2 linked regions of the Lonchura striata genome follow. The protein of the gene in region 2 binds, or shares a complex with, the protein of the main gene of each other region. Links are inferred from orthologs where the notes say so. Each region holds a gene or a part of one and is shown on either strand. Other genes may lie near its edges. The genes, in order: GDF5 and RGMB.

Evidence for each region.
Region 1: the proteins of RGMB (region 2) and GDF5 are in contact, whole or in part, in a crystal structure (PDB 6Z3J), measured with the Homo sapiens proteins. The link is inferred for Lonchura striata from reciprocal best matches to the Homo sapiens genes RGMB and GDF5. Residues at the interface, in NP_001353437.1 of Homo sapiens: Gln57, Thr60, Phe63, Val64, Thr67, Ser68, Leu70, Asn71, Tyr88, Leu103, Val104, Ser107, Ala108, Leu110, Gly111, Ile112, Asp114, Leu115, Gln118; in NP_000548.2 of Homo sapiens: Leu396, Arg399, Phe435, Pro436, Leu437, Arg438, Ser439, Asn445, Val448, Ile449, Leu452, Ser455, Met456.

What each region holds. Positions count from the first base shown.
Region 1 is NC_134619.1:13,416,791-13,432,346, forward strand, and holds GDF5 (growth/differentiation factor 5), read right to left. Parts: upstream 8,642-15,556; 5' UTR 8,621-8,641; coding exon 7,987-8,620; intron 6,447-7,986; coding exon 5,578-6,446; downstream 1-5,577. Other genes in the region: centrosome-associated protein CEP250, read left to right, coding at 14,983-15,039. UniProt on the Homo sapiens protein: Growth factor involved in bone and cartilage formation. During cartilage development regulates differentiation of chondrogenic tissue through two pathways.
Region 2 is NC_134642.1:53,095,969-53,112,596, reverse strand, and holds the start of RGMB (repulsive guidance molecule B), read left to right. Parts: upstream 1-9,718; 5' UTR 9,719-9,821; coding exon 9,822-10,056; intron 10,057-12,393; coding exon 12,394-12,905; intron 12,906-16,628. UniProt on the Homo sapiens protein: Member of the repulsive guidance molecule (RGM) family that contributes to the patterning of the developing nervous system. Acts as a bone morphogenetic protein (BMP) coreceptor that potentiates BMP signaling. Promotes neuronal adhesion.

The sequences.
Region 1 (15,556 bases), on a different chromosome or scaffold from region 2:
TTTGCCTCACCATAACATTCAGTCTTCCACCCCTGTGGGGGCTGCCTGTCTGTGTCCCCCCGAGAGCCACTTATCCCCAGGTCCTCTTCCCCAGCCACATTCCCTTAGAGCACCTCCTCCTGCTTCTCCCCTCACTACCTTTAGCCCTTAAATCCTCCCTAGCTGGATTCCTGTAACCTGATCACCAACCTTAGGAGTTAATGACTTCTTTGCCATCTGAAGTTTATGAGCCTTCTTTCACCTTTGCAGAAAAGAGAGCTGTGGGGAAGGTATCCATCCCCTTCTCTCAGCATGGGAAGGACCCAAGATGTGTTTCTCTTCTAAAATTCCTGGGAAAATATTAATGTTTTGAGGGCATTTTGAGGACTCATAAATTTGTATGAGCAAACTGAAATGTCTATGGTTTTATCAGTTAAAACTTTATTTCTGACTTTATATCACAATCAATGGCATTGTGTAAAAACAGGCAGATGGAAACTGGATGTGCAGAAGCAATATCTTCATTTTAATTCAATTTAATTAGTTTAATGGCATTTATCTGGCAGTATGATGGGCAGAGGCCGCTCAGCCTGGATTCCTGGATGGCAAATTATGGCTTAAGATATTATATCAAATAAATTCTGAGAGAAAAAAACAGTGAAAAGAACATTTTCTGTCCCCTAGCAGAGGGTCAGCCAATTAATCACTGTTATTGTTGACTAAGTAATTTTTTTTTGACAGCTATGCCCTTCAAAATGACATCAGGGAAAACTGAATCCATTTGCATTACTTCAGCTGGCCAAATCACTGCAGAAAGTTGAAACTAATTCTGAAAAAAAACAACCAGGCAAACAGGGACATCAGTGAACTCAGAATGACAGAAATGGGCAGTTCTGAGCACTCAGCAAAGTGCATTTACTGCTCCGTGTTTACTGTTTTTCAAAAAATGTTAAGATTATTGTTTATTGGATTTGTTGAGAAGCAATGAAATCTCCTGCAATTTTATTTTTAAATATCATTTTACTACCCAGCAGCAATAGTAAATCCATAAAATAACACGATTGACCAGGACTACGGAGTAAAAAAAAAATATTGTTTGCTTTGTACATTCTTATTAGTCTTGGCTAAGATGTTATAAAAGCAGTATCTTTTAACACCTTTTATTATACAAGGGTCAAGGGGTTTTTATGTTTCTTAAAGAAAGCTTCCAATAGCCCACATAGCGGGTTCCTGCATCTTTCATATGGCTGCTGTATAAACAAGCCCATTTTACACAGGAAATGACATAACCATGTAAAAGTGTACATGGAGTTTAGGCACATATTCAAACACTAATGGGAATGCATTGTTTTCAATGGCATACTTTTATGTTTACCTATTGAGCTTAGTACCCATATTTTAGCCAAATACAACAAAAATTATCCACACATACCTGTCTTATAGTGTACTGTTTATTTGAAATTTGGACCTTCAAGAAGACTCTCATGGGACAGATAATGACCCTAAAAAGTAAATACACATGAGGCATTCTCAGTGAGAGAGTGAAACCTGCCATCATAAAGGTGGAAAGCTAAACTTTTAACCTGTATTGCTTTACAGCTCAGGTTTCTGCCATCCAATTGCTCACACCAACTCACCCATGGGAAAAAAGCCGTAACAATAATTTAGGGTGTCTATCTTTGCACATTATATAATGACTTGGCTAAAGAAAGTAGTGCCAAACTCCTGCAGTCATAGAATCACAGAAAAACTCAGGTTGGAAAAGGCTTCCACTAAACCACATCCCCAAATATCATATCTGCTTGTTTGCTGAACTTCCAGGGATGGGTGGCTCCACCACCTCTTGGCCAATGTCAAGGTTCCCTGTTTCTCTCCATTTTCTGTGCTGAGTGTCAACTCCAGGGTGTGCCTTATTCCTAAACCCCTGGGTTTGGAGGGGAGTGAAGACTGAGTGAACCCTGCCTGGGTCTTTCTTTTGGGCTCCTCCATGCCATTCACGTACCTTGGGAAGTTTCAGTGCCTGTTTCTGTCCACATGCCAGTAACTGAAACTGCAGATTGTCATGCAAGGTCTTGACAAGATTGGCAACAATTTGTGAGAAGACAAAAGTTTGTGCCAGGAGATTCCAATGCCTCCAGCAATGTACCAATAAAGCACCTATAGGCTAGTACGCATTTACACCATGGGCAAAGTCACTAGAGCATTCCAGAATAAAAGAGTGTTGAACTGCAATTTCCAGACTTATCAAACAATTTCAAAATGTAACTGCAAAAGAGTACTCTGGACATCATAATACTGGTTTATAACTAATGGTATAAACCAAGAATGCTCCAATTTTGACCTAAAGGTGAAAAAAAACTACCTTATTCCTATGCCCACTATTATAAACTCTTCATTTTAGAGCTGAACCAAACTTGAGTGGAGCCAGTTCTGTTCCTTCTGGATGTCACCACATTTGAGAGACCACCCAAACAAACTGAATGTCATTTTACCTCCTAACCCTGACACTTGGGCTTAAACTGCTTCTGTTTTGGCCAAAGCTGTTTTTGAAGCAGTAATAATCCATTACAATTCCAGCATTTTACTCTCTGTTGTTTCAAATTTGTTTAAACTGATATTACAGACCTACTGGTGGTTTGGTTTTTTATTTTCCTTTCTAGGTATAACCCCCACCAAGCAGAATGTAGGCTTTTGAATGATTATCAAAGGGTGTTTTTTAAGACTTTAGTTTGACAGTATTTCTTTTAATTTTTCCTCAGATCATACTGTTTGCTTTGGGATAATTGCAAAACCTTGGCATATTTTTCCATTTAGATACCGATACATGCTCAATTTAAATACCATTTACCTGAGTCTTTATCTTACTTTATTCCTGCACTGAAAAACTCATACAAGAACAGCAAGAAAGAACCTCAGAGAGGTTTACACGTATTAGGTTTTTGAAAATTGCTATCGTGACCAGCCTCACCAGGACTCTCAGGCTGGTCACCAGCTCTGCAGTGTGAACCAAACAGGAATGTTCCTCCCCCTATTTCCAAGCTATCATGCCTCATGTGTAACACCAGTGCTCCCGTCCACCACGGTTGTTACAGCGCTTGATGAATCTAGGTGCTACTGAAGCAAACTACCCTGTGCAGGCAGTCCTAATCCCAGGAGTTAACTTGTCTTATCTTAGATTTGTTTCAAGTGTATTTAAATAGGCAGTATTTGCTATTTTAAACTGATCACCTTTAGCCATTGAGGAATGTGCCTGTGTGTTTAGTAACTGGTATGGCACAGATGTCAGAGCACATGTCAGAGCAGAGATTTCCTTGGGAATGTGCAAACAGCATTCCCAGAGTAAGAAAGGAGACCATCCTTTGTCATGGTCATCTAGCAAACTTCTCCAGGAGATAGCTGAAGCCAGTGCTAGAGGAAGCTGCAAACACACCTGAGAACAGACAGGAGGAGGAAAAGAACTGCTTGAACAGATAGTGGGGGGGGAAAAAAGCCTGAGCTGCCCTCCTGGCTTTGGACTTGGCAGGGGAATGTTTTCCCTCCTACTGCAGCAACGGTAAAAATCAGCAGTATATAAATCAGGTTTTGAAAAGCTTAGAGTTGTCGGTTTGAAAGACTGGCTGGTGATAAGCAGTTAGTGCTGGGGGTCAGTAACTGCTGCGCCTGGCCTAAGGCTCCATGAGGATGAGGAAGAGCAGGACCTGGGAAGGGACACTGAGAGTCCAAAAGGGAGATGGGGAATCCCTGTGGGCAGCCCTGACACACCAAAAAGGCCCATAAGACACCCTCATTCTACGTGCCTGCTGCCCTGCATGCTGGGCATTCACCGTCCGGGCAGGGGCAGCTTTCTGGTCCCCGGGTTTGCAGCAGGTGGGCAGTCCCTGCAGGCAGGAAAACCAGGCAGTGTCAGCCCCTCCAAGCCAGGCAGCGTCAGTCTTTGCTGGCAGGAATGACCACTGAGCAAATTCCACAGACCAAATCTCCCTGCAGGGCTGTTCTGCATCCCTGAGCTGCAGGTGAGGGCACAGGGCAGGTCCCCTGCACAGGGCTTCCCCAGGTGTCTGGCAGCAAGTCTGCTTATCCAGATACATTAAGCTGGTTAAAGGCTGAGCTGCCCAGAGAGTGCAGGAGGAAGGGCAGAAATTTATGTCACTGTTTATGACCATTGACCAGGAATTTAGGATGGTTTGCTGCTGGCATGAGTTTGAGGATGTCTAGACTGGGGTACTGAGCAGAAGGACCTTGGAGACTGTACTCAGCTCTCTGCCTCTACCCACACCAGTGATGCTGTGCAGACCCAGGAAATTCTATGACTTAATGGTCTAAGTAATATCAAACCTTAGCATTTATATTTTGTATTACTGATTAAATCCTTCAGTAATTTCTGATGGTTCATAGGACCTTTCTGATCCATCTGTAGTTGAACATTTGGTATCTACCTTTGTGGGTGGAAACATAGAGGGACAATCCCATTTATAACTCATGTCTGTAATAGATAACAGGGATATACAAGCACACAGCCCTTAGAGGTTGGAATAAAAGTATACCAAAGCTCTTTGCAACCCTCTGCATAACTCATTTTTGCTCCAAATACATCAATTCATAGTGTCATTCCCCACCAGATCAAACCAGGTCTTCCTTTCAGATCTTTTTTTCAATGTTTCTACGGTTTTTCTCTGTGGCAGCAAAATACACAGACATGTTGTGCATATCCATGGTATTCTGCTCCATGGAAAAGTCCCTTTCACATATTTATTGTACAAAAACATAAAACAATTTCTTAATTGCATTATAATTATGCAGAGTTGGACAGCTAGGCACAATGCAGCACTGTGTCAATAATTTATTACATCTTATTCCATAATTGAATGCTTTTACTATGAGCACTTGAGAACAACTTGGACCTTATACAGAATAATATATTTTGCTACATAATAATGGAAAGGTGGATACTTAAGAAAGATGTGTAGCTTGGAGGAAAACATACATGGAAGCAAATACCTCCTGCATCACCTATCTTTATGTAAAACTTAAAACTAAACCAACATATTATGTTTAATGACCCCTTTTTATATATGCATAGTTTCAAGAGCTAATCAGAAGGAAATCATATTACAGTACATATTTACACCAAGATGGGGGTACATCAGAACACAATTCTTCTCAACATTGGGATTCTTTTCTCACATTTATGAATGGACAAAGGACATAGGAATCAGATAGAAATTCATTCTCCAGAACAATGTTCAAGGAACAAACAGTTCATATCCACAGCTCACTGATCTCATCTCTATCCACTACCTTGCAGCTAAAAGCAGGAGATCTCAAGGTGTACAGGAATCATCTTCTCTGTCATGGACTTCACATAGAGTCAGTCCTGTGTTGCCAGCAGCACAAGGCCTTAAATCCAGCTGAGTGACAGCATCCAAATGCTACTGAAAGATGTCCATGGAGAGACACAAAAACACTGGATTTATTGCTACATCCTTGTAAACATACTTACCCTAGGGGTAAGAAACCTAGTTAACCTTGTTTGAGGAGAAGTTATGTCCAATGTGTCAAATTGCCTTTCATAACATATTCACATAAGCAACTGTTCTGCTACCTACAGCCACAGGACTCCACCACCATGTCCTCGTACTGCTTGTAGACCACGTTGTTTGCAGAGTCAATGAAAAGGATGCTGATGGGGCTCAGCCGGGTTGGGACACAGCAAGTCGGGGGGGTGGACTCAGGGTCCATGGAGTTCATTAATGTCTGGATAACTGCGTGGTTGGTGGGCTCCAGGTGGGATCGGAGGGGGAATTCACAGAGCCCTTCGCAGTGATACGCCTCATACTCCAGAGGGGCTATTATCCAGTCATCCCAGCCCATATCCTTAAAATTCACGTGGAGGGCTTTTCTGCTACACCTCGCCTTCAGGTTCTTGGTGGGCCTCTTCCCTTGCCGTGTTGCTAGAGGAGCTCTTCTCTTCCGCCTCTGGTTGAATAAGTACTCATAAACAGTTTTGTCATCTTGGCCAGACCTAGCTTTGATTTCATTGAAGAATAAGTCTCTTTTTTTCGTCCTCCCAAACACCAAGAACAGAGCCTTTTCATTGACCTGTCTTCCTGTTCTATTAAATCCCACACTCCTGAGATCAACAGCTCTCCCCCTGTCAAAAGTTTCCAGTTCAAAACACAAGTTAACCAAGTTTTTAAAGTTTCTGAAAAGTTTCCAGATGTCAAACACTTCCCACTTGGGTGTATCGGTGATGCTGACAGTCCGAGAGTCCAAGAGTGTTGAGGCTTGTCTGTTTGTAGAGCAACTAAATAATTTTACTTGGGAAGTTTTCCCAGAAGAATGAGACTTCCATGTATCAGAAGGTTTTTTTCTCAGTATTCGAAGCTCTGCTCCCAGCAATCCATCTTTTTCTAATGCACTGATGTCAAAAATATATTTTTGTTTTCTTATAGTTGGTGCTCGCTCATCTGAAAAAAGCACACAGATTTTTAAATGTACATCAAACACAGACCAATATTACTTATTCAGTTCTTAATGGCTTTCCTCAAATTTGCTCATAAGCCTCAAAGTTTACCCACTGAACAGAAAGAGCAATTTTTGTCTAAGGGATCAGCCCCATGCAGGGACTCAGAAGAAATCAGGGACTCACCAGAGAAATGAGTTTCCAAGTCTGCCTTGTAGAAATCCCATTTCTTTCACCAGTGGGCATTTTCTACCTTCAAAGTTGTTATTAGCCAGTTGAAAATTAATACTTTTTCAGGACTGAGCATTCACAGGATCTATTTACCACTTATAACCTACTTAAATTACAGAAAGAGAGCTTTAGTGGTGGCCAGGCCTTATGCTGGCTCCAAACATGAGTAAATTTACCCTTAGATGATGCAATAGTGAATTAGTCCTTTAAAACCAGTATCCCCAGGAACTGCTAGACATAAGGATAATTGCCTCATGAACTAAATCCCACATGATTTAAAATTTTTCAAACTGGGCAGAAAAAAATCCTCCCTTCATCCTGACTTTACAATCACTTGCTTCAGGTGGTGAAGAATATGGCTGAACCATATTCATTCCAGTGATGTGACATTAACAGTGGCTTCCAGTGGCAAGCTGGGAACCTGAAGGCAGCACCTGTGAGCAGCGCATCCCCCCTTCCCAGCAGCCAAGCTATTAATGAAGAGATGGCTAACAAATCCAGTCCTGGCGAGTCTTTCATCACAATTCCTTCACCAGCTGTGTTGCTTCCTTGAGAACATGACAAAACTCTTACAAATGTCACTGGAAGAAAGATGGGGCTCCCAAAGAAGGGTGCTGAGGTGAACATCATTCATTGGGAGGCTGGTTATTTCTCCTATGAAAGCAGACACTAGCCCAAATTTCTGGAAGTGTTTGGAACAGGAATGTTGAGCTGCAAGTTCTGGGTGTTATTACCCTTGGTAGCCTGTGCTGAGCTGTGGGCTCCTTGGTGCTACCTGAAAGTTTTAAGCTACTAAAGATACTCTCACCCCACAGGATAGTGCAGTGTAGTTCCTCACAATTCTACCTTGAACAAACCAGACTGGCCCTTTCATACTGAAACTTGTGGGTTTTTTTCAAAGAATAGCTCTGTTCTTAGCATATTATATGTTTTTAGGCACACTACAATCTAACATTAGCTGTTTCCATGAGCTAGTTTCCAGACAGCTAGAAAGAAAATAAGGCAAAAATGTGAAAGGTTTTTAAACACCTAAGCATGCAAAGACTGATTGATTTTCAACAATATGCATCTAAAATATTTCCCAAATGTTTTCTTTGGCTTCCACACAACCATCTAGTTCTGCCTGTAAATGAGTTTTCCAAGATAATGCAGGAGGACAAAATCTGCAGCAAAGTTGTGTGATTTCATTTACATTAAAAAGAGCTATTTGACTTTACTGAAATATGATTATTTTCCAATACTTTCTACATTTATAAGCACACTCAGACATCTCTCTCTGTCCACACTCACTCACACACAAGCTTCTTTCTTACCTTGTCCTTTGTCTATAAAGCTGGTTATTGTATTGGCAAGTCCAGCCTCCAGTTTTACACTTCCATTAACACCCTTTCTTTCTGCATCTGAGAGAGTCCTGTACAAAGAGAGCATGTATTCATGTGGCGTTATTGGGGGATGTCGGAAAGTTTCCTTAGCTTCCCTCTGGGTTACAGGCTCTTTAGTCTTTTTGGTTTTGAAAGAATCAGTGTCAGTACTGCTTGTGCCAGTTTTTTTCAAAGCCACCTTGCTGCTAAGATTTTGAACCTTTGGAGTCACTGTCCTTACTCCAGAAGGTCTGCTGGGGAGATGTCCTACCTTGCCCTCTGCAGCTGCTGTTCTTGAGGGAACCTTCTTTGAGTCATCATTCTTGGCCAGCAGAGCTCCAGCCTGAGCAGCACTGCTTTTAGTCCTGGCCTTTGAGGTCCCAGCACTGTATCCATGGCTTGAAGTCCTCAATGTACCTGCTCGTGCGGAGGGATTCCTCTCCTTTCCTTCTGCTTTCAAAAAACCTAATTTAGATCCTGGATTACCCTGGCCTGCTTCAGAATTACTCAGCACTCCAGGAACTAGATCCAGAGACAGCCAAGTCAAATGCCAAAGCAGTAAAGTGAGAAAATGCAGGATTTTCATCCTCTGGTCTTCCTCTGAATGCCACTAAAGAAAAAATCAGAAAAGGTTCCTCCAGTTTGGCAGAAGAAAACATGAAAGAAATTAAAAACCAAAGTTAGCAAAAATGGTTTTTGTTTGAGATTAAAACATTTCAAATATCGTTGTTCAATACTTGTATCCAGTCCCATAGTGGAAATGCTCATGTACTCAGATACGATCTCCCCTGACTTCAGTTAGCAGCTATAAAGAACTTGTTCTTGAAAAGAGAAAGTTTACCACCTCGTTTTCTTCTGTAAAACTGACTGAAAACTTGAAGGAGTCTTGTTTAAATCCAAGGTTTTTTTTTTTTTTTTCCAAGAAGGAAGAATGGCGTAATGCTGCCTCTGTGTTAAAAGGTTTTTTTAAAGTTTTGAGTTTTGAATCCTTTCCAGTGAAAATATTTCACACACAGAGATCTGCAGGTGCTCAGAAATCTTTTACAAACCTGAACTCTGGAATTGGAAACGGAATTCCAACAAACCTATTTAATTACTCTCTGATGTCATGCTGTCTAAACTAATTTTACTGCGATATATTTCTTAAAAAAAATCTTCTTTACCCTTTTCATTAGCATGAGTCATACTCTGCCTCATGTGAAACAGCTCCACAGGCTCAAAACTCCAGAGGATGCCTTTTCAAGTGGCAGTATGACCTCTGCCTTAGCCCTCGATGAACTTCACGTTTAGACAGGACAAACTGCAAGATCAACAACTGAGACCTGTCACACAGTCCACTGGACACATACATAAACTAATTTAGAAATAATTCATGTAGCCTTTTTTCCAGAGAGCTTGTAACAGTGGCTTCACTCCGTCCCCTTGTGACTGAAGGGCTGCGCTGGAACGCAGGCGCTTAACGAGGGTAACATTTAATTTTACACAAACTCAACAGGGCCGTGCCCACAGTCAGTGTATTTTGGCTTATTTATTGCTGTGCTTAAAAAAACCCGTGTCAGCCCAGCTGGAGAAGCAGCTCCTGCTGGAGGGGATGCCCCGCGGGGCGGGCGCGGTGCAGCGAGGCAGCAGTGCACCCTGCAGGCAGCCATCCTCCTCCTCCTCCTCCTCCTCCTCCTCCTCCTTCTTCTCCAGAGCCACTCGGGAGCTGGAGGCAGGCCGAACCCTGTCCTTCCTCCCGAGACTGCTGAACACCAGCCTTTGAATTTTAGATTCAAAATGTCCAAGAGCTGCTGACCCTGGGGCCCCAAGAAGGATGCAGGTCAAAACCAGCACTCCTCATGTCAAGGCTGTCCTGCACATTTCAGCCAAATCTGTCTTTCATAACCTGCAAAAAACGAGCTATTGTTCTAGATCAGCCTTCGGGAAAGAAGGCGCTGGACTCAGTAGGGATTACTGGGACTCATCTCTCATCTTGCATTGATGCTACACCCAGTCCTTCTGCAATTGCTTTTCTTTGAGTTAAGATGAAATGAAAAAGGTACACCACCTTTTGGCTTGTCCTGTGTGTGCTGTAGCATTCCCCACCCACCCTGACCAGTATCAGAAACACTGAACTGCTTTCATAAATAACAACCTGCATGACATAAGAAGCTCTGAATGCTTCACTTATTTTGATGGAGGAACTGAAGGATAGAAGAGTTCAGTGATTTTACAGATGTCACAAATAAGGTAGATTCAAATCATGATTTTCCTGATTTTGATCTAATAGCCCTTCCTCTGATGTCAGTTTGCTTTTGATATTTCCCTACAAAATAAAGCAGCTTCTCCTGGGAGTTACCTCTAATGAAACCATTCCCCAGCAGTCATTCCACACCATCCCATGGCCCTCCCAGCCATGCCATCACTTTATCCTTCCCATATTGCCCACCTTTCTGCTGGGTGATGTGCTGTGTCTGGTTCTGCACCATGGGGGCATTGATCAGCTTGCCAGTAAGCCACAAAAGAAGCTAAATGTTGAATTTCCACTTTTAATCTATCCAGCTTCCAGTTTTCACAATGTTTGTAAGAATTTAATATATTTAAAAGTTTGTTTGCTCTATCAAACTTGGCTGTGATTTGCAAACAGATTTAAGAGATGGGAGGTGAAAGAGCAGGAGGTTGGACAATGTGATTACATGGGCATTGTCTTAGTAAATCAAATTAAAACATGATCATTGATATGTTCAAAGAATATTTACATGCCTGAGATTAAAAAATCTTAGTGGGCTGGACAGAGCTAGACAGAAAGAAAAAGGAAAAGCAAGTAAAACAAGCAAGCAAAGGAAAAGAAAGTAAAAAGCAAGTGCAAATTAATCTCTCTCTTTAAAAGAGGCTGTTTTGAAGCAACCACAATCTCAGTGCTTGGAACCATGGGAGCACAGATGCTGTAGAGTGCACTGAGCCCCACAGACCCCAGAATGGAATGCTGACCCTGAACAAGACCCACAGACAGGGGAGTTCCTATGAACCCTACACCAAAGTGGAGTCATTCCAGCTGGATAAACTCAAACTCCACTGATATGTTCAATATGTAGCTAGAAACCCTCCTGCTGGTGAGGCTCTGGACACAGTGGAAGTGGTGTTCCAAGCCTCTCACTGCTCATCACAGCCAAATTTCTGTGCAACCTCAAGTGGCCGCGTTCATGTAGCCCACCTGTCCTTCTGAGCTGTTCTGTGACAGCAGCTCCTCCCTCGCACGGTGTGAGTATGGATTTGAAAAGGGAGGGCCACCCGTGTCCCTGCTCCCTGGAAGTGCCTTGCCTCCTGCTCTCCATATCCTGAGATTATGCCTACATGAGCTGTGATGCTTTCTCAGACAATCTCAGCCCTTCTGATGTAGGATGTCCTGCATAGTCTAGAGGAAGGGATGACTCTGGGGAGCCAGAGGAAGATTTCATAGTGTTGAAAACACTGTCAATCCCTGCAGATGAGCAGCTTCATTGGATATGTGATGCCAAGAGTTACAATTTGCTCTGTGCCGCTTACTTGCAGTTGAAGCTGCACATGGAAGTTTTTATAGTGATCTATCAGGAAATTCACTGTCCTTTCCCAGGTGGACTAATTTCCAGAAAGGACTTAAAAAACTGAGCTAGTGCCATATATTAAGCTATTTGCTGTCATGTTGTTTTGCTGATTGAATCTAATTATCATTCTGTTTCTGTGAGGATTTAGACCTTTGCACCATAGCTCTTGGGCAACTGTTTTCTAGAAGTGTGAACTTACAATTTATGAAGGAAATTAACAGCGCTGTGCTTTTCAAAAGGAAAGAATGACACAAAACCTACAGATGCAATAATTAAAACTTGCTGGTCTTGGGCCAGGGCAAAACAAATGTAATGATGTTTCCACTTCCACGTGAAGGTAGCAAAATTTAAAACACTGTGCTAACATGTTGTGATGTTAAATAAAAAATTGCAAGTCCAAAGAAATAATTGTGTCATTGGTAATCAAGAAACTTGGCTACATCTGCAAGCAGTAGTGAATTACAAAGCACAGAATCATAGAAACATGAAATATCCTGAGTGGGAGTGTTATTTTTGTTTTTTGATTCCTACAGATGTACCTAATTTCCCCAACTCTGAATTAAGGGGGAATTTTTTCCCCCTAATTTTTGGTATCTCTGCCTGTTATCATTTAGAGAAATTCAGGGTTTGTTTCAAGTTTCTTCAAGCCTATTCAGTAACAGAGTCCCTCCATTTGGTATACAATGTTAATTTCCCTGAGTTGCCTTTGATAGGTATTGTTCATCTTTGTAATAGAAGCATATTTATATGATTCAAGATTTGAGAGAGAGATCCTGAGATCCCAAACTACTTTGCTGACAAAGAAAATTTTGATGGCAATTCATTTATTCCACCTCTTTAAAAAAACCCAGAATGTCAGCGCTGAAGCATTCGCTGTCACAGGAAACAACAGGGAGTGAAAACAAGCCAGCGTTATTCAGCAGCCAAATACAAAATGAAACATATTTTTAGCAATGGGCTTAACCAAGTCTCAGGACAATTCCCGATGACATTGCGGAGGGTGCACGATCACTGTTTTTCCTGATTACATTCCCCGCGGCGGCAGAGCGGAGCCCCCAGGGCGGCAGCACCGCCCCGCCCTCACGGAGCCTGCGCTCCGGCGGGCGGCCGGCGGGGCGGGACGCTGGGGCCGGGCCGGCCATGGCGGGCAGCGCCGGCGGCGGGGAGCTCGGCCCGGGCGCGCTGCGGCGGCGGCTGCGGAGCGCGGAGGAGGCGCAGCAGCGCCAGGCGGGGCTGGTGCGGCAGCTGCAGAACGAGGTGAGGAGCGGGCGGTGCCCGGCGGCGGGGAGGCGGTGCAGGGCCGCCCGCGCTGCCCGGGGGCACTCGGCGGGAGCCCGCGGGGCCTCCCGGGCGGGCGGTGCCGAGCGCGGGCTCGGGGCTCGGGGCTCGGGGCTCGGGGCGGCCCCGGGAGCGCCCGTCCCGCCGCGGTCTCGCTGCCGAGCCCCTCCCGATCTCGATCTCGGTGCCTGCAGCTTCGCTGCTGCTCGGCCCTGTTAGCGGGGTTTGTCCCGGGCAGGAGTCGGGCCGGTTTGTTTGCAGAGCAAGTTTGAAAACTCGTTTTGTTCGCTTCAAGGACCCCCTTGAACAGCCCCCTTGAACACTTGGCTCGGGGTACGTGGGGGCCGTAGGTCAGGTAGAGAGCTGCCCGCACCTGTCCCATCGTTCTGCTTGCTGCCGCTGTCTCAGGTGAGCAGACAGTGCTACGGTGAAAGAAACCCTGCCCCAATCTCTGTCATATTAAAGTGACGCTTCCCGATATTGCAGTGACTTCTTGCTGAGTGTATCAGAATCACTGTGCTTGGGCTCGACAGAGTCAGAGAAAAGTTAACGTGAGGTGAGCAGAGTCTATTACAAGCTGCTTCTCTCATCTGTAATCTCTGTATCCATTTAGGTACTGCAGTACCAGACCTGGTGTCGAGAGTTGGAGCAGCAAGTGAAAGCTGGAGGGGTGAGTGTGCTGCAGGTTGTTAACTAAAAAGGGTGTATATAAAGTTCCCAAATGCAGACCAATAAAAACGCTCCACAATCCAATTACAAGAAAGCAGGTTTTTACTGTCTGAGGGTTTAGAGAAACACTGTGAGTTTTCCCATCAGTGTTTTGTCCAGTTGCCATTCTTAGAGCAGTCAGTAGTCCCAGAAATGACAGTCCAGAAAACCCAGTTGAGGATTTTAATTTTGTGAAAGAGTGCTTCATTGGAGTTACATTTGTCCTGGGTCTCGGGAGAGGACTGTGCTGCATGTTACATGATATAGCTGTCCTGGAGAAAGAACCAGTTAAAACACCATTTTGGAAGTCAGGAAGGCTGGTGGTTAACATACAGAACTGGCTCTATGCATTTCTTTCTGCTTCATAGCTAAAATAGATCTGGAAGCCACAGGGTGGAAGAATAGGAGAGCATTCCCAGGCTTCAAGTCCAAATCAGCACTTGAAGTCATGAAGTGAGGACACATAGCAGTGGGAGAGTGAGGAGAGTTGCTCACACTAATACCCTTCCCTTCCTCCCTGTAGTCACAACACTGTTACACCTGGAAGAAGCCATGAGCTCCTGAGATACCCAACAAATGAATGGGAAAGTGGTGGATGCTGACAGTGGTGAAGCACACACTATCATTTGACAAAACATTTCCTTTCTTCTTAAAGGGATCCCTTCCAGGCAGGTGGGAAGCCACAGCAGACCACAGCCTGGAGAAAGCACTGCTTCAGGTGGAAGAGGAGCAGCAAAGGTACAAGAAATAAGCATTTCTTCATATTTGGTATCCTGGATGCTCATGGAAGTGAGGGAAAATCTGTTGGTGTTACCCGGTCTCCCCAAGGGAAGCGGTTGGGCAAGGTGCAGGAGAAAGGTCCACAATCTGTTTTCTGTGGTGCAGTAACAGTGCTGTGTGCTTAATGGCTCTGCTTTGAGTGGGGAAGTGAAAGGTCCTTTCTGAGTGAAAGGTCCTTTTCCAGCTGAAATTATTCTCTGGTTCTAGTAGGTGAACAACTGTGGACAGTGCTATAGAAAAGTGATACATCCAGTGACCATCAGCATGAAGAGGGGGCAAATTGTTACATGTGGGCATTGTCAGGGTTGAAGGGGAAGCCAAAATCATGGATGGAAATTGAGGGCTCAAAGCTTTAGTTAGATGAGGTTTTCAGCACAGAGAGATCTTAGTTAACCCTGTAAAGTGCTTGTACTGCCTCTCAGGCAACAGTCAGTGTTAAGGGAGCTGGAAAAACACAGGGATGCTGGAGAGCTGTTGTTCAGCAACCTCCTGTTTCTCTCTTTTTTCTAGGTGTGAGAATCTGGCAGAAGTAAACACTCTCCTGCGGGAGCACCTTGATAAAGCCAGTGAGGTTAATTCTGCCCTCAAAGAAGATGTTGGAAAACTGACAGTGGATTGGATGAGGGCCCGGGAAGAGCTGGAGGTGAAGGAGAGTGAATGGCGCAGTGAACGTGAGGTGAGATTGGGCTACAGGAGTGCCAGAGGGGAATGGGAATGCATTTTGTTCCTGGCATGGAAAACTTGCTGTGTGGAGGCTTTGGCTCTGCTGAGGATGTACTGGTGCTGGACAGGGGTGTGGGAGGGAGGAGTGTCAGCAGAGGGTGCTGGGAGCAGATGCCCACCTTCTGTGACTGCACTGCTTGGTCGAGAAGATAGACCTGGGCACTGTTGGGCGGTCACAGGAACACTTGTTTCTTTAATAGTTCCTTAATCCTTGTTTTGAGCAATTGAGACCAGAGAGTTCCGTGTGTCTTCAGATTCAAAGAGGCTGACACAGGAACAAGATAGACCTCTTGTACTGTCTGCCTGTTGTAAGCCAACCTGGCACTGGGCTTGAAGGAGCTTGTGTTGGTGTTCCTCTGCTGGGGCTTTGTGGTGATGAATCATGATCAGCTTGCTTGCTGCTACCCACTCCTACAGAAGTGAGGGTGTTCTCTTCTGGGCAGGTGGTTCCCTTCTGTGGGCCTCTGTGG
Region 2 (16,628 bases):
CCTGATGGACTGAGTATTGATTATTTGCAGGGTGAATGCTTGATTAAGGGTCCAAATGTGTCTCACTGTGGTTTATTAGAGTTGGGTGGTAGGAGGAGGAATGTTTTGAAAGGTTTTCATTTTAGATTTATGTGTGTGTTTTCCTTTTTTTCTTCCTTTATAGTAGTATAGTAGTAGCTTAATAAAGTTTTTTCCCCCCTTGCTATTAAGCTTGGGCCTGTTTTGCTCTGTTCCCAATCACATTTCACAGCATTCAATTGAGAGGTTGCATTTTCATGGGGGCACTGGCATTGTGCCAGTGTCAAACCATGACACTGTCATGTCTGCTCTGGTGTCCATCATCCCCTGGAGTTGTAGTGAATGCCTCTTGCTCTTAAGGCCACACCATACAAGGGGGCTTTTCCTCTCCCAAACACTTGGTGTAAAAAACTGAGAGTTCCAGATCGTCACACAGGACTCAAGGAATGGGAATTGCCTGTGCAATGATCTGGCCTCTTGGTAAGAAGGGGGTGGGGGGGTGGACACAGCGTGCCATGAGAGAGAAGACCCTCGGGTCAAGTGTGGAGATCCCAGGAGGGATCTCTATCTCAAGTGAAGTGTTTTTTGTGTCCCTGACAATGAGGTACCTACAGTTCAGGAGGTCTTTTCTCCATCGGGTCTCACAGCAGCAGATGTGCGATAGAAGCTCTGTCATCTGCTATAAAGAAATGCCACTCCTGAGAAGGAAAATGGACAGGGTTAGTGAGTCGAAGCTGATAAGGTTCCGTCTTGTCAGTCATTGAGAGGCAGCCACTTTTACTGATGGCACTAAATGATGGATCGCGGCTCCTTGTGCAGTGCCACAACCCACCTCATTTTTGTCTACACGCGAGGTAGGTCTGCGCTCCTCCTTCAGTTTATTTGAAGTGTAGGATTCTCCTCCCCGACCGCCTCTGCAGCCCCTGGAGATGCATTCCCCAAAAATGGATATTGGGCCAGAAAGTGGCCCTCCTGATGGCAGTGGAAGCACTGGCACCTAGATGGGAACTGCCTTGGAGCTGAGTTCCTATCACCAGCCAGGGGCTAAATACAAGTCATGAACAGGACGGGACTGCTGTGGAATATGTCTCAAGCTGTTTATTTTTTAGCATCAGTCTCATTACATGGTTATAACAATGGGAAGATGCCAGCAGCTCACATCCCAGGCAACAAACCAAGAACTTAATGTTACAACTTACTTTATAAGCCTTTTGACCAATCACACAAAAGTATATTGACAGTAGTTCTATCCAATCACTATTAATACACATACCTTTGCTTAAAACAATGCTTGCTTATTTAGAATACAATACTTGCTTGTAAGCCTCAAGATACAATGCACAGAGCTCCATTATTAAGCTTAGAACTTCCTAATATCTCACCAGATATACTTTTCTGCAATTTAGGGAGTTATTCTACCCAAGCGTTAATACACAGACCATTGTTCTATTGGTCCTTTCTTTCTACTTCTTGTATAATTTTTCTGCTGACAAATCTTATAGCTACTGCTTATCTCTAAATCACCGTCCTGCTGTCTCTGAGGCCTGTCTTTTGCAACGTGCCCAAAACCCTCTGCTTTTAAGGAATCCCACAAGTTCCTTGGTGTGGCAGCTGGAGCAACCACTTTGTCTTGAGGCTTCTTTGGTATCTCTTCTCCCATGAGTTGTGCTTTCTGTGTGCATTTGTTGTTATCATGCTGGCATGGTAGCATGGAGGAAGGTTTTAGAAAGGCCTTGGGAATGGTAAACTGAGGAAAAGGATACATTCATGTATGCCCCATTGTTTTAGAAAGGCCTTGGGAATGGTAAACTGAGGTAAAAGATACATTTATGTATGCTCCACTGTTTCGGGAAAGTCCCGCTTCAGCATTCCTCTGTAGACCCCCTTCTCCCCACCCCTGAGCAGTTCCTATTGGACCTGGCCCCTGGGGTGGTTCTGATGTGCCCAGGCTGGACACTGTCTCTATTGTTTAAGACCTTATCTCTTAATTTTGCTGTATAAAACTGTATCTGGGCAATAGCCCAGGGCCTTTGGTCCCTGCAACGCTTCAGGCAATACAATCTATCTGGACAAGCATACCATTGGTCTCTCTTGGTCTCTTTATGTCGAATCCTAGCGGTGACTGAGGCAACGCCGCAGCTCGGACCATGCTAACCCAGACGCTGCCTGGTAAGCCCAGGGCAGCGGGACCGCGGAAAACCCCGGCCCTGGAGGGGACAGCTAGCCAGAGGGTCCCGGGGGGCCGGAGAGGGATGGGTGACAGCAGCGAGGAACCCCCGAGAGCAAAGTGGCAGTCGAAAGAGAAGCAACATGCATTCTTCCATTATTTGGTCAAGGGTTGGTGGTGATGAGACAGGCAAGGCTTGGATAATTCTTTTGCAAACTTCATTTGCATTCATGGAGGTAATTTCCAGGACGATCTGGTCCTGGAGTTCCAGCCCCTCCACACGCTTCTCCACAGCTTCCCTCACACAGTCCACAAAATCTATAAAAGGCTCAGTAACAAATTGTTTAATTGCTGCATATGATGGCATTGGCTCCTTGGTGGGCATAGCCAGGAACGTGCACTCTGCCGCATCCCTGGTCATGTCCAGCACTGCTCTTGGAATTCCCCTAGCCTGCAGCAGTGCTTCATTCCAGTCTCCCTCACCAATAAGGTGGTTTAAAGTGATTGGTTCCTTGGCAAGGTTGAGGCCATATGGGCCCTCTGCCCATCTCTTCCACTTTCTTTCCCATAATTTTTATTCTGAGAGGCTGAGCAGACAACTAAACATGCGATTAAGGTCTGCAGGGACCAATGTTTTTGATGGAAATATTGCTCATAACATGTTCCTGAAAAAAAGGACTTTTGGGGCCAAAATCTCTTTGAGTCTTGCAGAGCTCTTCTATAGCCTTGTAGGAGAGGGGTTCCCATCTAGGGTTTCCCCCCCACCGGCCTATAACAGACTGGAGCTAAGAATGGCTGATCTACTGCTCAAGCCTGTTCCCTCCCTGTTCCCCCCTCCCTCCCCGGTACCTGAGGGACCGTGGAAACCTGAAGGTGGGGCATGGGAAACAAGAGGAGGGTGGTCCAAACCTGGAGTCTGAGGGGCAGAGTTGACAGACCTCTGTGGACTGAGGGGGTGGGCCAATGGTCGGGCCGTGAGAAACTGAGGAGGACTGGAGGGAACACCCACAGGAGGAGGAGCAGAGGGAGGGGGAGTTACACAATTTCCAGAAAGGGCTGCACATACGTCAGCAGGGAAAGAGGAGGTATTTGAGGCAACAGTGGGAAAAGGCACAAAGGGGTTGGGAGAGGGAGAGACGCCTGCCACCATTTCGCATTGGTAGTGCAGTGGTGCCTCTCCAGGGGGACAAAGGGAAAGATTTAGGGGAGCAGAACTGCATTGGGCTGTGCCGAAACCGGGATGTATAACTGGGAAAGAGGGATCGAGATGAGGGTTAGGGATAAAGTTCCTGGCAGCATGGCCAGTGCCATCAGAGCAAGGGTACTGGGGGGACTTGGGGGAGCTAGGAGCACAGTCCACATTGCAGGAGCTGCCCTGCACCTGCAAGTGGTGGGTTGCCTTTCCCTGTCCACCTGATTTAGGGGAAGATAGGAAGGGAGAGCTAGGTGGGGAAAGGGGTGTAGAAAAAACTGGGGATTTGTCCGCTGGCTGCTCTTCAGCCACCCATCCACCTCTTGCGCACCTTCTTTTTTAACCACTTCCCAAACCAGCACAAACAGCTTCATGAAGCTGTCCTTTATGGAGGGGTCTCCACGTTTGATTCCTTCTGCTAATCTCACACCAACTCCCTTCCAAAAATCCTTTTTTCTAACATTCTCTGCCAAGAATCCGGGAAAAGCAAAGAACAACCATCGGACGAATTTTTTAACCAAATGTTTAGGAATAACATCACCCCCCTCCCTCAACTGATGACCCTCCCTTAGGAATCCCTTAACTTGGATATATAATTTTCTCTGGTGAGTGGACAGCCTAATATCCATGCTGCTCACTCACACAATCTCACGCACTTGCCACAGGAAAGGAACAACTAAACAAAAAATGGCCAAAGAGTCGCCAGTGGTGAGCCACTCACACTGCACGTTGTACCTCCCCTACCCTCAGGAGCATGGCCACCCACATAGTGAGGGAAGTTCCGGCCGGGTCTGTCCCACCCACCGGAAAACTTACCCAACTGACGATCTTCAGAAATCAATCTGTGTCAAGGGTCCTCCTCTCAAAGACAGCTCCCTATAGCAATTGGTGAGGAGTTAAAGCCTCATTCCTTGTGGGCATAAGCAGAACAAAAAATCTGTGTGCTCACTCAAGGGCGTTGGTGCTTTCACTGACTGAGTACACACAGTCCAGCAAGGGGCAGTTCCATGCAGAGGCAGCAGTGTTCGTCGTGGCTGCGTCTATGGCAGTGGCCGGTGCGGGGGCGGCCAGTGTGGTCTGGCAGTGGCGGTGGCTATGCGGTCTGGCAGTGGCGGCGGCTACACGGTCTGGCAGCACCAGTCAGGAGACCAGCATGCTGCTTTGGCGTGGGCAGTGTGGTCCTGGACCGCAGCCACCGTGTGTGGGTGGCGTAGTCCCGGCACGCAGCTCAGCAGCATGGCACAGTGGCCGGCATGGTACAGCGACGCAATGGTGGTGGCATGCTGGTCGTGTGGCCTTAAGCAGCAGCAGTGGCTTCCAACCGTGGCAGCCGGTGGCAGTGGGGTCCAGCAGTGCAGCGTCCAGTGGCGGCATCTGGTGGTGTGACTTCCAACAGTGGAGGCCCACAGTGGTGGCACATGTCCCTCTACGGCTATTTTCCTGCCTGATGGTGGAGCACCACCTGCGGCAGTTACCATCCATGGCCCCAGGTAGGTGGAAGGGTCTGGCTAGTACAACCCATGTGAGGCTGTGTGGCCACCATGTGAGTGGACGAGCAGCTTAAGTAACTCTGCACACTGAGAGGAGATGAAGAGATGAGAGAAGGACACTTGTATACCAGCCCAGAGTCCTTTATTTCCCCAAGTGGGGCAAGAAAGGTGCCCTCTGAATGGGTACAGTGACAAATGCTGAAGAAATCAATGATTACAGAAACTTAAATAGGGGGTGGGCGGACAGAGGTGTAAACCTGTCTTGCCTAATGGGGATAAACCAGAGAGGGATACAACAACCTATGATAATGTAGCAGGGATAGGTACAAGGTCAGGGGACAAATAGAAAAGCTAAACTGGAGTGATTGATACAAAACTTTCTGGAAGAAACTGGGGATAGTTACAGGATTGACAGCCAAAAGGGTATAAACAAACTCGGATTGATGGAACCAAATAACGAGAAAACAGGGAGATATGATTGACATATAACTGGGGAGCCAAGTGGCAGGAACTTTTGGCGTAAACAATTTGTATCAATCCAATTGCAAGGGGACAAATGGGAGAGCATAAGACTAATTAACATTGCTAAAACAAACTGACTAAATCAACCCACAGCGCAACACTGTAAGATTTCAGATTTCAGAATTTTGAATTTAAGGGGCACAAATGCAGTGACTTGGTCACTTTGTGGATATCCATGTGAAGCGATGCTACTGAATCTGTCTGTAGCACAGCAGCAGAGGAAAAGCTTCTCAGTTCACCAGGTGTATTGATCCTCAGTATTATCTTTTTATGAGGGAGAGAAAAACTAGCTTAAAAGTGATGGGAGAGGGAAAGATGTCACTATTGAGTAAGAAAGTGGCACAGACTCCAAGAAGGCTGGTTTGCACAACAGGAGCTTTAATGCCAAAAGTCTCCTCTTTATAGACTGACCTGACACATTCTACCTGATTGGCTAATGAACAAAAACACTTTTATCACAAACAATCCTGGAGAAGAACAGAAAAATAACACCTGCAGGTTGTTTACAATAACAAGCTATCATTGTTTCTCTACAACTTCCTAAAAGTCTCACAAGTCCACAGTGAGAAAACTTCTGTTGTTTTCTCACTCTCTGACCAGGTTGTCACATACACAGAAAGATACCTCTGAACTTTCTTCTTTCCTTCTGTCAACTACAGGTAGATCTCTGCAGCTCACAGATTTGCCCAGGGAAACTACCAGACATTATCACAGAACACAGATATTTATTGAAGATATCATACCACAGCAAAAGCAGGTTTGTTGTTTGGTGTGTGCAGCAGGTTTCTTGCTTGTCTTTTCCCTTTTTTTTTCATGAATCATTAATTTTGGGTGCCTAAAGGTTGAGTGTCCCCATGACAAGTGTAGAGTCTAGGGAGACACTAATCTCATATGTGTTTGCATGACACTTCATCCAAGATGGAAGGACGTTTTCTAGTACCATCTGTGTAGCAGTTGCCCTTTGGCAGTTTTCTTTATCTCCTGTTCATGGGCCCATCAATGTCTTGCCACATGACTCAGAGATAACACTCTCCAGGAGCCAGTTCTGTGATCAAAGACACACCTTGTGACTCAGAATGACATGAGCCCATTGTGAGATGCTCTGTCCAGGGGAGAGGAGCTAAGCATTCCCACCTAGATATAGCCTGAGATTTCTAGACATAGAAACAGCCTTCCCACAGGTTTCCAAGAGGACACATCTGGGGTTTTTCCACTGGACCAACTATACCTCTTCTACAGGATCACTGCACAAAAAGAAACCACATCTGCCACTCCAAGAGGACTGCAGCCACTCTAATTTGGACTGCTACCAACATGCTGGCCAAAGGGGTGTCAGGTTGTATTCTGACTTTGTCAGTGGTCTTTCCATTTGTATCATTGCATGTATTTTTTCTCTTTTCCCTTTTCTCAATAAATTGTATTTCTGACTTGGAGTCTCTCACTAGTTTTGCTTTCAAACCAGAATATACTTAAATAGCTTTTGTCTTGTCAACATCTAAGGGACACATCCTCTAAGCAACCCGTGTCCTGTGCATGGCAGGGGGTGTCATTGAAAGCCATCAGAATGTGGATTCACCCATAGGTGTATCTGCCCATTCTCCCCACTCTGACCACTTTTCTTACAGCCTCACAAGTCAGACCTTCTCAAAAAAAGTTCCCTATCCAGCATTGGACTCCTAGTCTCTTTGCAAAAAGAAGATTCCCTTTGGCTTGTGGGAATCGGCAGCATCAGTTCCCTCAGCAAACATTGCTTTTAAATCTCTGTCCCATCCATGATGGATATATACTGGATGGCAGCACATTTTTAAATATTTGCTGGACTCTAAAATCCAGCCTACAGAAGCTGAGTAAATTTCTGAGCTAACTAACTCTCATCAAGTCACAACTTCTATTTTTACAGTGCACATTTGCAAGGACCAAAAGAGGGAAGCAGTGTTGCTAGAAAGTGCAGTTTTATATAGAATTTTCCTCTGTTATTTAATTCTAGATGTCAAAATAAAGTGCTATGGAAAAGAACAAACTGATGCCAGTGCTGCAGGTGAGAGGAGAAGGCACATGAAGGAGAAGGTCAAGCACATGAGTTCTGACCCTGGATAGAGGCAGTCCTCTTGTGAAGCAGGGGAATTTTCAAGGTAGGTGAATCCTTGAGACAGTATGGGGCTGCCAAACAGCACAACAGATTTGTGTAACACAATACAACTCTGAAAAACTTCTCCTTACTAATTGTATACATAAGATGTACATTTCGGGTTTGGTGATGCCCTCCTTTCTAGGGTGCAACAGAGACTTCTGCAGAGGGCAGCCTCCAACTGATTTATTAAAAAAATATGGATATTTATCTAGTACAAATATCCAACTGTGACGGACAAAATCTCTCTAACAGTATAAAGTTAGAAAGTGTATGTTTATTCAACACCGGGCAGCGTGCGGGATAGCTCCCAAATACACACTGTGGCTTCCAGGTGATTACAGAGTCTTTTTATCCATACAAGTATTGAATATCCAAAATAAAAATACATATTAATAATTTTGGTACATCCCATTCCTCATTTCATATGCTAATCATTTCAAAAGCTATTAAGGATGTGTAGTTTGTTCCTTGAAATCGGTCGGTGGTCCCTTTCATGGGGAGGGGTCCCAAACTGAGGAATTAAATGAAGTCTTCCTCGTTCTGACCTTTCTACCTTTTCAATGCAAATATGACAAATGAACTCTTGGTAGAACTCCCATTCCTTTTCTTCAATTGGTTTCAGAACAGAGGAGGCCCACAATTGTCTTATGTTCCTAAAAGCTATTTCCAGTTTTTATATTCTTCATTATAAACCCAGCTAACTAAACATTGTGCTGACAAGCAATCAATTATTAGTTAACTACTAACTCTTAACTTCATCAAAGCCTACTCATTAATTTTAATTAACTCTAGTAAAGCTTATCTCTAACTAAAATCTTAGCTCCTCTAAAATCTCTAAATTCCTTAAAATTTATGTTTCACAACTAGCAGTGTATTTCCAAAAGCCACAGGGGCAGACATCACATTGTAACATAATTGTGGAAGTGATAGTGATCCTAATAATAATCCTAGGAATAATCATAATTGCTGGAATCCTGGATGCTGAGAATTTTAAACTTTCTGTGCTGAAAGGTACAGACTCACAAGAGAGCACTGCATTTGACTTGAAGTTGTGGAGAAGACTTCCAAAATTGATTAACAGCACTGGGATTCCAGGTGTGTAGTTGGTTAGAAGTGTGTAATATCACAGTGGAAAATTTAGAGCTTGGGGTTTTAGAATATAGAAATAAATATGAAGCAAGACGGGGGTTTTAGCGGGGAGAGGCTCTTCTTCGCCTTCTTCCTTCTTCTTCATGGGTTTGGGTGTTGTTTTGTAATTGGACAGAAAAGTCTGCATTGTGGGCTTTGAGGGATGTTATTGGGTTAAAAGGGAAAATAGTCTAGGTGTCATTTCTTAATTGGATTGTTTAGTTTTAAAAGACTTTGTAACAAGAGATAGTAAACCATTTTATGCTTTGTTAATGAAAGACTGCAGAACTGTGAGGTTGTGCAGGCTGTGAGGTTGTTTCACTGATAAGTAATAATAAACACCTGAGTCCAAACATGAAACACCATCTCAAGTGCCTTCAATCCCAACCTCGACAGAGGTAGAAAAAACAAGCAGAGGACCCACACATAATCCTGATGGTAGATTATAACTGTGACCTCACATCCATTGCTCTGTAAAGTCAGGTGCTGTCAGAACCTGGGCCAACCTGTGGGAACAAGTACACATGGCCACAGGGAAGGAGTGGAGCTGCCCCATCTCGGTGTTCTGTAACCCACCCTGTATCTGCGCTGCCATCTGCACTGTCCCACTGGTAACTTCTGCTCTGGGCCACCGATGTCCCGTGCCCTGTTCTCAGCAGTGCCGGTGGGCCACCGGTGTTGCCATTTGCCCTGTCACGCCGCGTCCCTTGTCTGCACCGGAGGTCTTCCATGTCCCATCCCTGAGGTGTCCCTGCCCCCCCGGCCGTGCCCCCTTCTTGCCTGGTGGTAATCCTAACCTATCCCGGTTGAGCCGCCTCTCCTGTCCTAGCGGTGTTCCCCACCCTATTCCGGGGTATTTCCTTTCTTATCACGGCGGTGTTCCCTGCCCTGTTCCGGCAATACCCCTCCCGCCTCACGGGTGCGACTAGTGGTGCGGGCGCTCGGCCGTTAGTGACGCAGCAGCTGCGGCGGCGGGGTCCGCGGCGGGCGGGTCGTTGCCGGCAAGGGGCGTCAGGCGCCTGGGCTAGCCATGACCGACAGCTCAGGTAACCAATAAGAGGCGGCGCAGAAGGAGGGGGCGCGCCGGTCGCAGCGCCGGTGCAGGCGCCGCCGCCGCTGCCCCATCGGGGGTCCGTTCCTTTGTGCGCATCGCGTCCCGCCCCGCTGCCGTGGATGCGGCCGCACCGCTGGAGCAGTAGTAGGCGGATGGGAAAGCACTGTGGAAAACGTCGCCCACTCGCCCGCGCCGCCGCCGCCTCATGCCGTGGTACCGTCCTGCCACCGGCTCGGGAACCTGCATGGCCGGGCATGGGGAGCGCTGTAAACTCGCCCGCCCCCAGGGCTAAGCCGCCGCTCGCCGCTTTGCGGCGGCTGCTCGCCGCACTGGGGCTGCTGCTGCTGGGCGCAGGTACCGGGAGTGTGGGGCTGGGAAGGACGGGTGCGCAGCTGTGTGCGCGCGCAGACGCGGGTCCTTTTCCTTCCCGTAGAGGCTCTCATGAGGCGGGATTCGCGAGCTGGGCCTGTGTAGTCCAGAGGAGAGAAGGCTGAGAGGCAATCTCGTTAATGCTTATAATAGCTCCATCTGAGAGGATGGTGCCAGATTCCTTCATTGGTGCCGAGCGACAGGAAGGAGGCTATAAACTGAAACACAAAAAAAGCTTCACCTCAACATGAGGAAAAACTTCCTTGCATTAAGGGTAGCAGAGCACTACAACGGGCTGCCTGCGAGGTCATGGATTTTCCTTCTCTCGAGGCATTCAAGCCCTACTTGAACACGTGCCTTTGTCACGTGGTCTAAGTGATCCTGCCTTGGCTGAGGGGTTGGACGAGATGATCCCCAGAGGCCCCTTCCAGCGCTAAAAATTCTCTAATTCTGTAATTTATTGAACTGTTTGATGACTGGACAGACTTGCTCAGCTAGCCTGATTTATTTGTGATTAAAATAGTATTACAAATACAACTGAACGGAAACAAAAGTTTTGATGCTTTGAAAGTCTGGCTCTAAATCCAGTATTCCCTCTGTCATTTTGCTTGGTATGGGTCTTTTTTATATATCTGAAAACACAGAAATTGATTGTTGTTGTTTTTGGGTTTTTTTTTCTGTATTCTGCAGAGGTATGTATGGCTTGCACAAAGAAATTTTCAGCTTACCTGCACAAGGCATGGTCATGCTTAGCTGTAGGTGGAGAGTTCCTAATTCTACTTCATGTTGTCATGGGATTTTGACAGATTTGTGTTAGCTACGCATCACTGGCAAAACATATTACCCTTGTAAATTCATAGTTTGGATATTCGGAGTAAGTCATGTGAATACTGACTCAGGAAGGTGAGCTAAGGGGCAGGCAAAGAAATTGCTGATATCCTCCCATCACTGGGTGCATTGAAGAAAGCAGCTATTTAGAAATGAATTATTCATTTGTTATTCAACCTATTTTCCACTTCTGACAGCTCAGAAGTTTCTCATATATTTCGTTTTCCCTTTTTTTTTTTTAACTCTTCCATGGGTCTTTGTGGCGTTCAAAACCTGCTTTATGACAGTGAGAAATTTCAGACAAATGTTCCTACAGATGAATTTTAGTAGATAGTTTTGCAGGCTTGGACAGCTATTGTATGAAGTTGTGCACCAGTTCTTTATGAAAGTCCATTTTCTCTTTGGATGGCAGGAAATGTGAGCTCTCCTAGACTGGGATCCCCCTGCTTTTAACCTGTGGGAAAAGTGTAGGTCTGTTGTCCTTAGTATGTTTTTTTCATTTAATTTTTGCTCTTGGTAAGTTCTTTGGTAAAAGTTACCTTTAGAAAGCTGATGTTAACTGCCATGAGAGTCTGGAATGATTTCAGATCATACCTGTGAGAGCTGTGGAGGAGACTGTAGAACTTTGGTTTGCTTGCAAGGATTTAACTGGTTTTTTTTTAATGGAAATCAGGTTATCAGATAAAATGTGACTGGTGTGCTCATGTAAGTTCAACTGTGTAGCAGTTGTATACATCTGATAATCACTTCAGACTTTTGTGGAGAGAGGGTTTTACTCCCCCCATCTTATGAATTTTGCTCTTTGAGGTACAGTTACTGCAATGTACAGGTGCGTTAGCTGAAAACTTGCACTTCAGAAAACTGTTTTTTTTCATGCTTTAGTTTCAAAAAAATAAGCAGTGAAGCTCTAGCTATGGCATTGCCAGGGAAATAAAGCAAACTGCTTGTTCGCTTATCTGCTCATTCTCCCCCACTCTTGTTTCTAGAAGAGAACTTGGCTTCTGCTTTATTCAGTCTAGTTTTTGTCAAAACATTTTTAGACTTATGTCTAACATCTAAACAATGTCTAAATAACATTACTTTGTTGTCTTTACCACATTCTTCTGAGGGGCAGAATTCTATATAAAAAGCACTTAAAAACTAAATGGAGGCTTCCTTATTGACTAAGTTATTAATTTAAAAACAGAATACCATGACCTTGGTATCTAGAAAGAAATGTGTGGCTTGTACTTGACAGGACCTAGTGCTCTTAATTTTCATCTAGACAATATGAAGTAATGGATTAAGACATCATGAGTCTCATCAGCCTCTGAGATATTCTCCATTGCTTTTATCTTTCAACCTCTTCTTTTTTAAAATGTAATGTTTCCCTAATGAGTGAACACTTTTAAGTTTCTTTCAAGTTGTTTTCTTATGGTTCTTGTGGGAGTGGAAAGGGGTATTGCCACTTAAGAGGTTTGCTTTATGTCTTTCTGCTGTCTGTTTCGTGCTTAGGTGACTGTGAGCTGCACACATCTTGTGGAATCCAGAAGTGCACCACTGATTTTGTATCCTTTACTACACATCTAAACTCAGCTCTTGAGGACTTTGATTTGGAGTTCTGCAAGGCCCTGCGAGCATACTCTGTGTGTACCTATCGCAATTCCAAAGTATGCCGTGGAAACCTAGTCTACCATTCTGCAGTGCTTGGGATCGGTGATCTCATGACCCAGAGAAACTGTACCAAAAATGGACCCACATCCTCCACCAACTCTGAAATAACCCATGATCCCTGCAATTACAGTGGCCACACAGAAGTGAGAGACCATCAAGGGGGAGAGAAGACATCTCCTCCTACTTACCTGTTTTGTGGCTTGTTTGGGGATCCTCATCTGAGGACTTTTAAGGATCACTTCCAGACATGCAAAGTGGAAGGTGCTTGGCCCCTTATAGACAATAAATACTTATCAGTACAAGTGACCAATGTGCCTGTGGTCCCAGGATCCAGCGCTACTGCTACAAACAAGGTAGAGATTATTTTTGTGTACTGTGCATGCATGAAGAAGTGAAAGGCAAACAGTTAAGTAAGTCATTTAGCCCTTAACAATGAAAAAGTGTATTAGCTTGAGAATCTTCTGTGCAGTAGTATAAAAAAATAAAACTCTTAGCATCTTTGTTAATGAGCATCAAACAAAACAGGTTATTTTCTTCCCTCTTCTCTTGTTTAAGAAAACCTGTGCGTATCAACACACAAGCCTGTAATGATACTGATGTAACACTTTAAAACAGTTATTGATTATTGTACATCTGTGACTGCCTCTGTACTAATTAGAAATTTGAAAAATCATACAATGCTTTGGGTTGGAAAAGAATTTAAAGATGTAAAGAATGTATGTTTAATGAATGAAGTTTAATTTTCTAAACTTCACAGCTATAACAGTAGGAAACAAATAATACTGAGAGTGGCACAAAAAACTGGTTACCAAAACACTGATGATTCAGAGCCAAAACAAGAGGGCAAACTGCAGAGAACTGAGAGAAGGTAGCAAGCTGAATGCTTGTGACAAGGACTTTAGTACCTGAGCTGTACTAAACAAACAGTGGCCTTAAAATTATGCCACGGATATTAAACCCTTGTTGAGACAGGGGAGACTTAAGATTGCAATCCTCTCAGATATTTTGAGGAGTCTAGAGTAGGAATACATCCACTAGTATTTAATAACTGATGCCATTTCTTTAACTTAAGAAAAGTCTGTGTCTCTTCCTGCTGGATGCAGGTAGCAAGTGAGTCCATCAATTACTGGATTTGAAGCTGATATTGTCACATATCTCTTTTGGAGTGAAAGGGCTTTTTTAAAAATAGTGTTAGTGTAGCTCTTGGATTGTCAAGCTACATCAGGCTGTATGTACACAGCTTCAAGACATTTACTAAGCAGTCACAAGTTTTTTTGTTACAAGGCAATATATAACTTTCAAAACCAACAGACAGTTGCCACAGGATTTATTTTACTTTTCTAACCTATCACCTTTACTTACTTCTACTGCACTGTGGCTATTTTTATCCAATGGGCTTCTAACTCACAGACATACATATGCATCTGTTATAACTCTGAACTCTTAGCTGATTCCATACAACTACACCCCTACATTATAAACACTTGAGCAGCTTACCAGTATAGTTTCTCATTTACTTAAGGCATATTCTCACCTACAACTATAGAAATAAAAATTTATAATTTTTCTGCTTAGTATCTGTGTTTTGTATTTTTACATGAATCTAAGCTTTTTCTAAGGCTGTAGATCAAACCCTTCTGTGTCTGATTCCCACAAGAAGATAAGTACAAGAACTCAACAGTTGAAAGTGTTGCTTTTGTTTAAGGCACACAAGCCTTAAACTTTCTACAAATACATTAGGGCCTTCTCTAGAAATGGTAGTTTTACAGCTCAGTAACATCATCTTTGAAAGGTTTTATATGTGCAGTGGAATTTAAGAAAGCTTTGTGGTCAGTGTACTCATCAGTACTGGCATCAGTAGGAGTGGGAGGATGAAGTTCAAAATTAAATGTGTAAATTTCTTTGGTTTAGTAATCTTACTATAGCTGATTTGTTTATTGTATCCTTAGATAAGCCTCTGGAAACCTTTATTTTTGTGTTTCAGCAAGCCTCACTGCAGAAGAGCTCTGTACCCAAAGAACAAGGCTGATACACTGATAATTTCAAAGATCTTTCTTTATGTGAAGATTTTGGCATTCGGATTTTTCCATCCTAACTTTAGAAAGGGCAGCTAATCACTAGTCTGTAAACAGTACTGCATAAGCAGCTGTGTGAAGGTGTTCTTGGGACCCAGAGTGTGAAAAGTACCATAGGTACATAAACATTTGTTAGAAATAACCATTTTCACTTTTTAATGCTCTCTGATACCTTGAGAATTTAAAGAGAGAAAGCTCTACAATGACATTTTGCTTCATCTCCATTTGCAGTAGGTTCTGAAGTATCTGTCAGTACCAGGGCATGATACTGAGATAGGAGTGTATGATAAGACAAAGCCCATGCAGCACTCTGGTTTTACTGATCTGGCCTATGGTTTAGGTGGATGTTGCCCAACAGACAACAGAATATTCAAAATCAGTGTATTGAGCTGCAGTGTTTAAATACAAGTATGTCCTTGGAAAATCTTAATGTCTCTGTTGATTCTCTCTTTAAAGTGTCCTTGCAACATACATGGAGGCCTTTATTCATCTAATAAAGCTCTCTAAAATCTAATTTCAGCTTTCTACATGTCTACAGCATCCATTGTTATTGTTAATCTTAAATTAGTGTGAAGGCTTCTTGTTCTTTCTCTGTGTTCTGAAATTGTGTGCATTTCATTCTAGTAAATGAGGGAGTTCTGGAGAGAGCAATTTGGTAGCTGCTTCCTGATCAATTTTGCCAGGTGTCTTGCTTAAATATTTTATGAAGCAGGTAGTTCAGTGTCTCATTAAAACAATGAGACTTCTTTTTGGCTCCAGTCTTGTTCAAGTGCTAAGGAAACTTAGAGTTTTACTTCTGTAGGTGTGTAAATTATTCTTCACAGAACAATGCAAGTGTGCTCAAGAAAATAGCAATGCCTCTTTGTCTGAGCAGGCTGAGATAGAAGTCTGTTTCATTCAAACTGTGTTACACAAAATAAAAGGCTTTTTACTGTATTATGGCCTGGATTATATGCAGAAATACTAATCATTTGAGAGACCTCGAATTTCTGTTCTGTAGGTTGCTGAGTGTACTTTACTAAGAGCAAAACTGTGAGGTCATCTTTACAGCAAAAGAGGCACTTGTGTGTTTTGTGGATTTTGGGCATAAGCATTCCTGCTCAGCTGTCATTCACAGACATCACTTTACTAAATTACTTGACTAAGATGGTCTTAAGGTATATAGCTGATACATCTCATGCTGTATAACTGGTTAATGCAAGGAAAAAACATTGGAAAAATCCCATCAGCACTAGTGAGAACATATGAAGTCAAAATAGTAAGTAGTGTCTGTGTTGTGAGACAAACACTGACAAAACATCCACCACCTGGGATGAGCCAATTACTGAAAATTAATGTAATATTTTTTAAGATATGTGTGTGTACTCCAAAGAAGAAATTGTTGCAATGGGAGGAGAGAGGTGGGAAGACTTGTGTCTTATAAAAATTGTATAGAGAGGTGAGACTAATGAGGCCAGAGGTTTTATTAAAATTGTTTGTAAATGGTTATTGATCTAATCTCTTGCTCTTACTTGAAAGGAGAGAAGCAGAAATAAAAGTTGTGCAGAAGTGTGTTGGTCTTACTTTAAATGAGAGAGGCAGAAATAAAAGTTATGCAGAAGTCCATTGGTTAACTGAAACTAAAATGTGAGGTTGCTGTGGAACAGATTTTAAGTTTAACCTTAGTTTAAAAATCCCTTCTGATATGTTTTGAAGTTTTTGAGTGAGTCTCATAGCAGAATTCCTAAATTGTAGACTGTAACTAATTTGATTAATCAGTTAATGATGAAAATAATTATTAAAATATTTATTCTTGGTGCAAAATGTCTTTTACCTTTTCAGTAAGTTATTCCCTTCTAGTCATTCTTTCTCTACAGGAAGTAGCACATCTGTTTGTAATACTTAGATGTGATTTCTCATTCTAATTTTTGCTTTAGGAAAGCTGCTAGACACTCCACATTTCATCTGCCATATAGCTTAGTTATTCCCTTCAAGTAAGACTTGAGGAGGACCTCAAGGATA